Caenorhabditis elegans: one gene and its partner. The protein of the gene in region 1 purifies or fractionates together with the protein of each later gene. This does not show direct contact. Each region holds a gene or a part of one and is shown in the gene's direction. Other genes may lie near its edges.

Evidence for each region.
Region 2: the proteins of plx-2 (region 1) and lad-2 purify together in Caenorhabditis elegans (affinity purification with western blotting, with the first as the bait; one study listed by BioGRID). This does not show direct contact.

The regions. Positions count from the first base shown.
Region 1 is NC_003280.10:14,418,822-14,426,898, reverse strand, and holds the start of plx-2 (Plexin-2), read left to right. Parts: upstream 1-2,007; 5' UTR 2,008-2,017; coding exon 2,018-2,167; intron 2,168-2,301; coding exon 2,302-2,429; intron 2,430-2,474; coding exon 2,475-2,951; intron 2,952-2,999; coding exon 3,000-3,258; intron 3,259-3,302; coding exon 3,303-3,467; intron 3,468-3,675; coding exon 3,676-3,810; intron 3,811-3,863; coding exon 3,864-3,998; intron 3,999-4,042; coding exon 4,043-4,700; intron 4,701-4,762; coding exon 4,763-4,917; intron 4,918-4,966; coding exon 4,967-6,883; intron 6,884-7,504; coding exon 7,505-7,661; intron 7,662-7,709; coding exon 7,710-7,880; intron 7,881-7,929; coding exon 7,930-8,077. UniProt on the Caenorhabditis elegans protein: Involved as a receptor for mab-20/sema-2a in the formation or stabilization of cell-cell contacts at several stages of epithelial morphogenesis. In early embryonic development, required for proper ventral closure of the epidermis.
Region 2 is NC_003282.8:2,975,326-2,980,260, reverse strand, and holds the start of lad-2 (Neuroglian), read left to right. Parts: upstream 1-1,776; 5' UTR 1,777-1,862; coding exon 1,863-1,929; intron 1,930-1,974; coding exon 1,975-2,089; intron 2,090-2,813; coding exon 2,814-2,930; intron 2,931-2,976; coding exon 2,977-3,047; intron 3,048-3,830; coding exon 3,831-3,951; intron 3,952-4,935.

The DNA.
Region 1 (8,077 bases):
TACTTTATAGGTACGAGATAGCTGGCAACAATAATTTTTCAATCTCATCGAATTAGAATTGTAATGTCCTAACAAAGCAAACTTGTAAGGCAAAATCTGGTTTGATTACAAAAATAGTGCTGAATCTGCCAATTTCACTATGCAGAAATAAAGTTTTTTGAAAAGTTACAGTCAGAAAATAGCAGTTACTCAGTTTGCAATAAGGCTGTGCGGCTGGTAGAAAAATTACAAAGAATCGAAAGTTACCGAAAGACAAAACTAATTTTTAAAAAATTTAAACAACGCTACTAGGTTCCAGACACGATGTTTATAAGGGAACTCCGGCAATTGAGCAAAACCTTCCTATGTACATGTGTTCTTAGTTCTTCTTGAAACTCTCATGTTAATAGGTTCACAACCTACTTAACCCCTAGAACACGCTCTGTTTGTTTTTGACACCGTCTTCCGTTGTCTCTTGCGCTCCGCCGTCATCACCTGCCACGCAGCTCATTAACTCATTAACTCATAAGCTTGTGCCTTGTCTTGGCTTAGCTGTATATATATACGCTTCCTTAGTCTATATAGAACACCTACTAATGATCCTAATGTGCATGCATTTTTATTTTTGTACCAGTCGGCAGTTTTTCAAGATATAATCCAAATTATTTCAATTATTTGAATTTTTGTGAAATTTTAGTCTAGACCCATATGGCCCAAAACTGCCAAATGTTGTGTAAAGGCGTTCTGAAATATTAGCACTAAAGGAGTTTTTTTTTAAATGAAATCCCACTGCCCCACAAATAACCATCACTATTTCAATAATCAATACTATAAACTTTACACACTCTGTTCCGGAGTCCTCACCATGTGATCGATTAGAATCAAACTCATTAATCATTTTCTTTGACATAATTCGCGGGTTGCTCTCTACCCGACTTTTCGCAAATACAAACTGAACATCTGTCTGCCGAGTTAGTGATCATTAATGAATATTTATCTAGTTTCAGATTTTTTCGTATGTACATACATATTTCTATTTCATTTTCCCCCAACCCGGCTTACCCAGTCCCTCCGGATCCTCCTGACACATTTCCCCTTGTCCGTCCATCTATTTTCATTGTCCATCCCATTTTTTGCTCTTTTTTGCTTGTGCTCTTTTTCATATCTTCTTTTGCTTCTCAGTTTCATGTTCCATTTTTGGTTTGGACCCTATAGGACCGAAAACTCATTTGGGGATTACATTTATGTCATTTTTACTCATTTCCCCTCATTTTACGTTTCCGTTTCTTTTTAAAATATTACATGTTTCTCTACGGACCTCCAAAAGGCTACGGCTTCTATTCAAAAAATATAACTGCCTGCCTGCCTACAAGGTGATCTATGCCTTATACAACTAGAACTACAAAAATTTTGGTCACTACTAGTTAATTCTGAATTTGGTTCAAACAATCTATAAAATGAGAAATTTATAAATTGTATTTACTAATCCAAATGTACTTCTTCAAAACGTAACAAACAAATGACCATTTTGTAAATGTCTGCACAAAAAATGTCTAACCGATTCGCTTCATCGACGACCATCGGTTCACTTTTTTTCGTTTGATTGATCATGATGGAAATGGTCAGTCAAGTATTGTATTGCATTACAATTAAACATTGAATTCGTTCACGTTTCAAGTGATTTATAGGTTATGTGGTTATTGAAGAATGGGGAGACATTGGACACAGGTATTTCCTTATGTTGGAAAAATTTATTACATTTTTTTTTGGAATGAATTAACCTAGTTTTTGCATTTTTGGTTTTTCATGAAAATTTTTAATCAAAATACTATTGAGGTTAGTAAATTCTTTTTTGGTGTCACGTTTTATTACTTCGATGAGTTGGTAGAAGTTAGGAGTTAATCGCCTTTTAGTCAAACATGCAGGCATATTAGTACCTTTATTTTCAAATTTCTGAATTGGCTAAACTTCTTTTAAATTTCTCTATTACTTTTTTTCTGAAATGATCATAAATCTTCTTATTTTCAGAAATGCGATTATGCTCCCCGAATCGGTGTTTCTTCTCCTAATCAGCCATTTTCTGCGGGCGGTAACCCAGCCGCCCTTTGAAACAGAAGGCGTGAAACAAAAATTATTTCATTTTTCTGGACACATTGACGACTTTATTGTCTCGAGGGACCAACAAACGGTAGGACATCTCACAATTTCGAGAATTTTGAGAAAACTATCATTTTTGAAAGCTAGGCACGCCCTCATTTCTGCCTGCCTAATAAGCCTAAGCAGAAGCCTATAGTTGGTACCTGAGTAATTTTAATCTTTCAGATCTACGTGGCATCTCTCAACCGACTAACATCTTTATCAATTTCTAATTTTTCAATACAACATGAGGTTTCACTCGGTCCGGTTCAAGATTCTCCTTGGTGCTCTGCAGATGGAAAATCTTGCTTAAAGCTAGTTAATCAACATCACGTCTTTATCCAAATTATTATTTTCAGAGACAATCGCCCCTTCCCAACAGATGTTCGCACAAAAATCCTACAAATCCTTCCCACAAATCAAATTCTTCAGTGTGGTTCTGTAAAGCTCGGGTCATGCTCCACGTTCAATTCGAAGTTATCTCTCATCACTGAATCCACTATCGCAGTTGCCGCGAATTCTCCAGACGCGTCCACAGTATCGAAAATCATCGATAATCGTTTAATTGTTGCGGCAAGTGCAACGAAAGAATCTCCGTATCGAGACCCGTTTCCAGCGGTTGCAATTCGAAACTTGCCCGGTCTGAATGTTGAGAATGCCGGTGATCTGGAAGGAGAAGCTGCAGTTTTCCTGAGAGCAGCTTACAAGAATGCATTCAAGTTTTTGTACACCTTTACGCATCAACATTTTGTGTTTGTGGTCGCCATGGTCACACCAAGAGAGTCAAGATTACCTATGACAACCAGGTTGATACGATTCTGCCGAAATGACACAAAGTAGGTGTTTAGGCCAAAAATTAGCAAAAGTTATATCCCTATTTTCAGATTTGAATCCTACTCTGAAATCGAACTTCAATGCCGCGGAGAGGACAATACCAACTATCCATTTCTGAACGCAATCATTCAATCCTACGACAAGCTGATCGCATCGTTCTCAACATCATCCACATCTCCAAAAAGTTCCATTTGTGTATTTTCGATGCAAAAAGTGAAGCTGACTTTTTGGTACAATGTGGATAGGTGTAGAAGTGGTACTGATTCGATTAGACTACCTCATATCGGGAGAGATACAAAATGTGTTAATGCAAGTTTTAGGTTTTTCAATGAAGAAATTATTTCGCTTTTCAGAAAGCCCACATACCCCTCGACGAAGATAGCTGTGAGCTCGGTGTTGGTGGATCAATTGAACTTGTTGAGATGTCCACAAAAGACATTATGGGAAAGGTGACGTCATTGATGGCTGTAGATCAAAAAGCAATTTTCGCGGGAACAACAACTTCGCAGATTGTGATGGTAAATTTTACTAAAAAAGCTAGCTAGATTCACACGACTAACTGCTTGTGATCCATCATTGTCGCTGACCCTAAACAGCATTTCGAATGACACTTTAATCTTCAAAAATGTATATGAAAACAAATGTCAATCAAATGCATATCACAAAGGGATTATTTCTTGAAATCATAGGACTGATCTTTAAAAAAACTATTACAAACAATTTTAGTTTAAATGGGACGAGCACCATTCAAACCAGTTGGAAGAGTACGGTAGAAAGGAAGTTGGAGATGGGCGAACTGGGAGCGAGGTCAGCAAAATGGTCAAATTTGGGGATTTTGTCATTGTGCAGATGCCATATGGAGTAAGTTTATTTTGAAAAAAGGGTTTCATGTAGAACAAATTTTGGTTTTTTAGATCATATTAGAAGAGCTTTCCACTTGCTCTCATCACAGCTCATGCACAGAATGCTTAGTCTCTGTAGACCCACTCTGCCAATGGTGTCATCCGACGCAATCGTGTACGACTTCAGCAAGGTGTACTAGTCCAGTTGTAAGCAAGTTTATCTTTGTTCTATTTTGGCATACACGTTTCAGACTTCTCAGTGTCCAATTGTCGATGGTGATCCGATTCCTTCAATAGTCTCCGTGAACTCCTCTACCCCTATATCCTTCAACATTCACCATCTTCCACCTCCAGTCGGTTTCACTTATAGATGCCAATTCGGAACATCAACATCATCTATCAAAGCTAACTGGACAACGACCGGAGTTTCATGCCCATCGGAAATTTTTACATCACCAAACACTTTTGAAATTTTGTTGCTAACATCAATTTCCAATAATCCAATCAGCCGTCACAACTTCACAGTTTACGATTGCTCGGGTTACGGTACATGCTCGTCCTGTATGAGCTCTGAGTACAATTGTGCCTGGTGCTCTGGATTGCACAAATGTTCGAATTCCTGTGGGGCATTGGAAAAATCAAAAGCCTGCGTGAAAATTCAACCAATGAGGCTCCCAATTGCTATCGGTTCTCAACAAGAAATCGTGCTCGAGGCGTCTAACCTGGATACTCTTGATCGAAGGCACGAACATTTTTGTAAAGTAAACGAGCAAGTGTCTCTTGCAAAGATTGCAAGCGATAGTATCCGTTGTGGCAAGATTCAGTTGACTTTGAGCAACACTACGAGTGCAAACATGGTGGTTCCGTTGAGCCTGATCACAAGGGACTCTGTAATTGATATTGCTAATGGTAAGTACCAGAGATTTGTGAATTCAGTTTACAATACATACTTTAATTGAACTGCTTTTCAGTGTCCCTTTACTCTTGCACCAACCTGGCATCTGACTGTTCCAGTTGTCTTGCTCTTTCCCCTTCACTATCATGTGGATGGTGTAATCGACAGTGCTCCCACGAGTGCCACGAGTCAAAGGCCACTGCTGTGTGTGATCCACCAAGAATCGATAAAGTAAAAATGATATGAATACGTATATATCTTGTATTTAAAAATGTTTCAGTTCGAACCAACAAGTGGGCCCATCGAAGGAGGCACAATCATCAAAATCTATGGGAATGACCTGGGCATGTCTGTAGAAGACGTTCGTGGAAAGATCTATGTCGCCGGTTCTAGATGTAATATTGTGGAGTATCATGTTTCTAACATGATTGCATGTCAAGTCGACAAAGGTGTCAGCTCGGGCCCAATCAGGATATCAGTTGGTCGGGCAACAGTTGCAGTAGCAGAATCATCGGAACTATATTCGTTTGTAAGAACATCAATATTCTCCGCTTACCCCCTGTATGGCCCAATATCTGGCGGAACTCGAATAACTCTGTACGGTCAGAACTTATCAAGTGGATCTCAAACCTCTGTGACAGTTGGTGGCATGCCGTGTCCTATTGAAAGGGTAAATTCTTCAACAGTTTTGACTTGTCTAACACCTTCTGGAACTCGAATTGGAAAATCTGCTAGAGTAGTTGTTCATGTGGATCACTCCCAGACTCAACTCGATCAACCATTTGAATATCGATCGGACCCGTCTATTAGCTCAATCTTCCCGATGACTTCTTTCAAAGCCGGCGGAAGAATTGTTTATGTTCAAGGCAACTCATTGAACACTGTTCAAACAGCAAAGCTATTCCTCATATCATCTCCAACACCTCCGTTTTATATAATATCTGATCTGGCTCCATGTCACATCATTAACTCTACATTAATGACTTGTATGACTCCAAAAATTTTGGAAACAATCACTAGAAGAGTTGAGTATACACGGCAACCTGTGGGTTTTCACATGGACAATGTCACAGCTGTAGCAAATTTGGGAAGACGAATTCAGATGGGCATCTATCCGAATCCGACGCTTTCTCCGTTCAAAGGAGTACGATATCATCAGGGAGAACAATCACTCATTCTTGAAGGACACAATCTAAATCTTGCTGCGGAGCCAAATGATTTCAAGATCTTCATTGGAAATGAGAGATGCTACGTGACACTTGTAGATGTTAGGCAATTGGTGTGCTCGGGACCGGTGAGGCAACCAAAAGCTACCGATGAAAGAGGAATTCCAATTAATGGGGATAACCCGCTGGTTACTGTAATAGTTGGATCACTTAGAATGGAGCTTGGGTTGATTGAGTATTCCGATCATGCACTCCCGTCCAGACTATCACTTTTGATTCTTGGGCTACTTCTGTTCATTGTTGTCACGTTGACTGTGATGTGCTTGGTTTTCAAGCGGAGGCGTCAAGAACGAGAGAAAGAATACCGAAAGATTCAGCTTCAAATGGAAAATCTTGAAAACAATGTTCGTAAAGAATGCAAGCAAGCATTCGCTGAACTTCAAACAAACCTAGTACTATCTCCAAAGTCTGCAAATTCTGTGAACCTTGGACCGGAACTCATCAACTTCCCGCATTTTGTGGAGAACCTGCTCTGGTCTGATAACAACCTTACATCTGCGCCGAGTTTGGCAAGGACTCTCCCAGTGACTCTTGCTCAATTTCATGCACTTCTGAGCTTCAAAGGCTTTATTTTCACTATCGTAGAAGCTGCAGAATCGGATGTCTCCATATCAACATCAGAGAAGTCAATGTTAGCAAGCCTCCTGATATCTGTGTTACTTCGAAACTTCTCTTATTGCACTGAAGTTGTTGTGGACCTTCTACGTGCCCATATCGCAAGATCGGTTCAAAATAAGCGCGCCGAGTTACTGTTTCGGAATAGTGACTCGGTGGTGGAGAAAATGTTCTCAAAGTGGATGAGCATTTGTTTGTACTCCCATTTGACTCCGCAAATGAACTCGTACTTCTATCTATATAAGGCGCTACAATATCAAACTGACAAAGGACCCGTGGACGCGGTGACCGGTGATGCGAGATATACGATTAACGAGGCCAAATTGTTAAGGGAGAGTGTGGACACAAAGACTTTGGTGAGCTTTTTTTCAAATTTTCAAATGTTCAAGGTTTTATAAAAAGTTTCACAAGTGTTTAAACTCATAGAGGTTAAAGATGATTTTTAACTTTACAATGTATCTTTTACTACGGTGATTTTTTTTACTACGCTTTGTATCTTATTATTGTATCTTACTAGATGTTTTTTACTACGAGTTCAAAACTCATTTTTATAATTTATTCCAAGTATAATTACCCAAATATAGTGAATACAAATGTCGCACTTGTAGTTTGTAGTCAAGTAGTTCTAGTAAATTTGAGTATACCCGGGTTAGTAAAATAACAACGTAGTATATAAGATGAAATAGTGAGAAAATATTTTCCTATTATTTCAAAGTTTACTAGACTACGAGAGAATCAACGGTTATTATGAACGGCTACTAAATTTTATTATCGGAAGAAACGAATTTTGGTAGAAATTCCACAAAATTGTGAATTGATGTAACAAATTTACATAGTTATTTAACCTGGATTAATCAGAAAATATATAATTCATTTTAACAACATACCTTTGTTTCAGTTTTGAAACGTTTACAGTTGATCCCACAGGAAAAGGGAAAGCAAGTCTAATTGATATGCTATTTTTGGTTAATTTTCAGAAAATTCGTGTGATTCCATTTGAAAAATGCGATGAATCAATAGATCTTGAAGTTCATGCATGCGACGCAATTTGTCAAGTCAAACAAAAAGTTGCTTCAGCTGTCTATCGTGAAACACCATATTCACAGCGACCGAGAATAACGCAGTTCGAATTGAGTGGGTCATAAATAATCCCATATGTGTCTTCAATCAGTTTTTTTTCAGAATATAAATGTCCCAAACGGGGAGATGTGAAACTGACCGATGTTTTGCCAATTGAGACGTTATCGCAGAAAAAGCTACCAGTAAAGTTGTTCACTTTGGCAGATTACGGTATCAGTGATGGCTGTACGCTGGAAATGTCTCCAGCGGTTTATACAGCGGAAAGCTATAGAAGTGAGTTAATTGAAGAAACAAAATTTGAATATAACCCTTAAAATTTCAGATTCTCTCGCAGATTCTGGACAATCTTCCTGGTCATCGTTAGATCGATGCTCTCCAATTTATTCATCTTCAAAATACTATCACCTAACAAATCCGTCATCTGGAACTATGACTTTCAAGAAGAAATCTTCAAACGACAGCAATTTGCT
Region 2 (4,935 bases), on another chromosome or scaffold:
GTCCGATTTCGGTTTGATCTACGTAGATCTACAAAAATTGCGGGAGAAGAGACACAGGGTTATCAACTGATTTCGCTGACGTCACAATTTTTGCGCAAAAATTCCCGCATTTTTTGTAGATCAAACCGTAATGGGACAGTCTGGCCCACCATGCGTATATTTTTATCCGAAATTTTATCTCTCCAAAAATAAAAGCAATCTTTTTTTCTAAAATTTCCAAAATCCCAAAAACTCGCCACTTGAAAATAGTTTCATTGTCCATCATCAACATCAGTTCCCTCTCTCCTCAAAACTAGAATAGCAGATGATAGTCTGCCTCATCTTTTTCCATGCCATCTCCAGTCATCGTCTTCCTGTAGGGCCCCCCTCCTGTGTCTCTGCGTCTCTTCGTCTCCCCTACTCTCTCACTTCCTGATTGGCTCGATTGTCCATGACGCCGAGGATAAGACAAGATTTTTTCTTGTGCAATTTCTGTGACTTCTGGGACCAAAAAAATATCGGAGCCACTGCAGGCGATGTTTTTCTGTTTACTTTGTACTTTTTGTTTTGATTTTTCTGAAAAAATTACCGAAAATACTTTATTTTTTATTATTCCGAAACGACGTTTTTCCGATCGAGAGCAGTTTTTTTTGTAGATTTTTGATTATTTTGAAAAGGTTTTTGGGATCGGAAATTTTTTAGTCAAGCTTAAAATTTTTTTTAAGTGTTGGTGTAGATTTACGGGGTCTAAAAGTGTGAAAAAAAATTCAGAAAATAAAAGTTCCAAAAAAATTCAAAACTATCACCCAGACACAAAATTTAGCGATTTTCCCTTCAAAACTACAGTACCTCGGGTCTCGAAGCGACAATTTTTGATATTTTTTTTATTACATGCAAGAAGGTGTGCGCCTTTACAAAGTACTGTAGTTTCAATTTTTCTTTTCGAGTTTTCATGCATAGTTTTTCACATGATTTTTTATTTTCTATAATATTTAAGTTTTTAAATGAATAAACATATTTTTGCTTGAGAAACTATAAAAATTGGCAAATTTCGAAACTACATCGTTTCGAGACCAGGGACTGTATTTTTAGAGCGAAAATTCTGGAAATTTTCAACTGGAAATTTTCTCTTTTTCTTAATTTAGGAGGACCCTAAAAAAAGAGTATTCTTAAAATTTCAAAAAATAAAAAATATATCCCTCATTTCGGCTTGATCTACGTTGATCTACAAAAAATGCGGGAGAAGAGACGCAGAGTTCTCAAGAACTTGCTGACGTCACATTTTCAGGGCAAAAAACTCCCGCATTTTTTGTAGATCAAACCGTAATGGGACAGCCTGGCACCACGTGCCCTAGATTAATCAAAGATTTTAAGAAAAATCCGCTCCAGGAGCATTTCTAAAGACTACTTAAATACGTGGTGTCAGGCTGTCTCATTACAGCTTAATCTACAAAAAATGCGGGAATATTTTTCCAGAAAAGTTGTGACGTCAGCACAGCAGTGCAAAATCAGATGAGATGTCTGCGTCTCAGCTCCCGCATTTTTCGAAGATCAAAACGAAATGGGACTTTCTGACTCCACGTGCTTACAGAGTGTTCACCATTTTCTCCAATATTCGATCACCCTCATGCACCATGCCATTCCCCCCTCTTCACCCCCCGTTTCCCAAATACCAGACGGGCTCCAATTTCTGTCAATGATTTGCATCTCATTGACATTCGCCCCGCGGACACTCCATAATCATACCCCCGCCCCGTGACTCCGCCTCCTTTTTCGTTATTTGATTAATTTCGAACATTTTAGACTGCCTGCCTATAATGCATCATATCCTGAGACGTCGGTAGATTTTTGGTAGCAGACTTTTTTTTTGGATTTTTCCAACAATGCGTTTAGTTATTGCACAGTTTCTTCTAATAACTCAGGTATTTGCTGCACAAAAAAATAGTATTGGTAAGAGTTTTGTAACTTTAAAATGTCTGAAACTGTGAACTCCAGGTCCCCCGAAGCTTCTAGAACAATCAGGCGAAGAGGTGTGGTATCATTTAGATGATGAGGATCTCCTCAAAAACAGGTTGACACTTCGTTGCGAGGCAGATGAGAATACTGACAGGTGGGTGGAAATTTGGGATTGACAGGTGCTGCGTAAAACATGCAAGCCTACCTAGGCACCTACTAGGTGCCTACCTGCCTACGTGCCTTGTACCTCTGTGCCTAGCAGGTGTCTAGTAGGCACCACCAACCTCGTGTTTACTTGCCTACGCCTCTAGTGAACAATACATTTTTATGCCTGCTTGCCTACTGGCATAGTAGGTACTACAAATTCCAGCTCTGCCTACTGCCTATTTTTTTTTAACTTTTTCGGTTTTTTTAGTTGAGTTTTTGGTTTGGTTGAAGGTACTTCGCACTATGCAGCTTATGTCTGGGCGCCTGTATATTGTAGGCCCTGCCTATAGGTATACATTTTTAAAATAGCGTGCCTACGTGCCTTCATGTCTGAAACTGAGAAATCTTGTTTTTTTTGTTGAGAATTTGATGAAAATTTTTGAGAGAATTCGAGAGCATTTTTTAAAATAGCTGTGAAAAGTTTGCGAAAAACCGTCGCCTGCCAGGCGCCTACCGAAAGACATGAGGCAGGTGTAGGCCTCCCATGTGGTAGGCAGGTAGACATTTATGCCTATATAAATAAACTATTTCTGCAATAAAAGTATGTGTTTTTTGGTTGTAGGCACAAGACAGGCAAAGGTCACCTCGAAGGTAGGCAGGCACGTAGGTAGCTATTTAGGGCAGGTAATTAGGTAGGTATGTAGGCAGGCATTTATCAACTCTATTTCCAGATACTCCTGGCTCAAAGACGGTGAGCCATTCGTCATTGATTCCGAAGATGTTCTTTGGGAAAAAGAAAGTCAATCTGGATCAATTGTTTTTACAAAACCTCATGCTAGTCATCAAGGGTGAGAAATTCAGATTTTTGGAAAAAAAAACCAAAAAATATTGCAGATATTATCAATGTTTCGCATCGAATATATTTGGAACAGCACTTTCGAACAAAATGCATTTGAGGCTTGGATGTTAGTTTTTAGATGATTTTTAGAATTTTAAAATACTGGTGGGAAAGTCGAATTTTATTTTTTGAACAATTTTGTGAAAAAATTATTTTGGCGCATAAAAAAATAGGAATAAAAAACGTTAATTTTTCCAGAACACATTGGATTATTTTCAGCATGGAAAATGCCCTGAGAATGTTAAAATTTGAATATTAAAAAAAATTCTGCGGGAAGTTAAAATTCAATTTTTTAGTTTCTAACGAAATTTGGTGTGGAATTTTAACTCAATTTTTGCCAGAAATTTTGGTGGGAAATTCAAATTTAAAACTTTTCAAAATTTGGAAAAATTAAAATTCAGTTTTGAAGCCATTTTTTCAACAACTTCCAGTATCAATCAATAAATAATAAGAATTATGCTAATAATAATAATAATGTGTTTGTTTTGAATTTGGCTCAATGAGCACTCGAGTGCTCTTTTTGCCCCCTTTTAGCTCGCCAAGGTGCTAATTAGTGAATGGGGACGGATTTAATCAAGACCACCCACCACCACATGTTGATTATTATAAAAAGGGAAGGGGAGAAAAAAGAAAAAAGAAAATGATATGTTTTATCGAATGTGGTGTCAGAGCGTTTCATTTCGGCTTGATCTACGTTGATCTACAAAAAATGCGGGAGAAGAGACGCAGGGTTATCAACTGATTTCGCTGACGTCACAATTTTTGGACTAAAAATTTCCGCGTTTTTTAGATCAAACCGTAATGGGACAGCCTGACACCACGTGTTATCGAGAAAATTAATTATTTCCAGCACTGGAACACTTTCCAAAACGGGATGTTAAACTATTGAGAGTGAAGGAAGGAGAGTCGCTGACGTTGAATTGCACACCGCCACGTGGCACACCTGATCCGAAAATTGTCTGGCTTTATAGGTAAGGGAATAGGCAAAATTTCTTAAAAACACAGAATTGAAGTTTTCCAAAATTTTAACAAAAACAAAAAATTTGGGAGATTCGTAAAATTGCACGTTTTTTTGTGTAAAAAAAAATACGTCGAAACTTCCGGCAAATCGGCAAATTGCCGAAATTAAATTTCTGGCAAATCGGCGAATTGCCAGAATTGAAAGTTCCGGGAAATCGGTGAATTGTGGGAATTGCAATTCCCGGAAAATTGGCAAATTGTCGGAATTGAAATTTCCGGCAAATCGGCATATTGCCGGAATTGAAATTTTCGGCAAATTGGCAAATTGTCGGAAATCAAATTTCCGGCAAATCGGCAAATTGCCGGAATTGAAATTTTCGGCAAATCGGCAAATTGTCGGAATTGAAATTTCCGGTAAATCGGCAAATTGTCGGAAATCAAATTTCCGGCAAATCAGCCAACTGCTGGAATTGAAATTTCCTGCAAATCGACAAATCGTCGGAATTGAAATTTCCGGAAAATTGGCGAACTGTCGGAATTGAAATTGTCGGCAAATCGGCAAATTGCCGGAAACGAAAATTTCCGGCAAATCGGCAAATTGCCAGAATTGAAATTTCTGGAAAATCGGTAAATTAATGGAGTTGAAATTTTCGGCAAATTGTCGGAATTGAAATTTCCGGCAAACCGGTAAACCGGCAATTTGCCAATATTGAAATTTCCGGCAAATCGGCAAATTGTCGGAATTGAAGTTTCCGGCAAATCGGCAAACTATCGGAATTGAAATTTCCAGCAAATCGGCAAATTGCCGGAAACGAAAATTTCCGGCAAATCGGCAAATTGCCAGAATTGAAATTTCCGGCAAACCGGTAAATTAATGGAGTTGAAATTTTCGGCAAATTGGCAAATTGTCGGAATTGAAGTTTCCGGCAAATCGGCAAACTATCGGAATTGAAATTTTCAGCAAATCGGCAAATTGCCGGAAACGAAAATTTCCG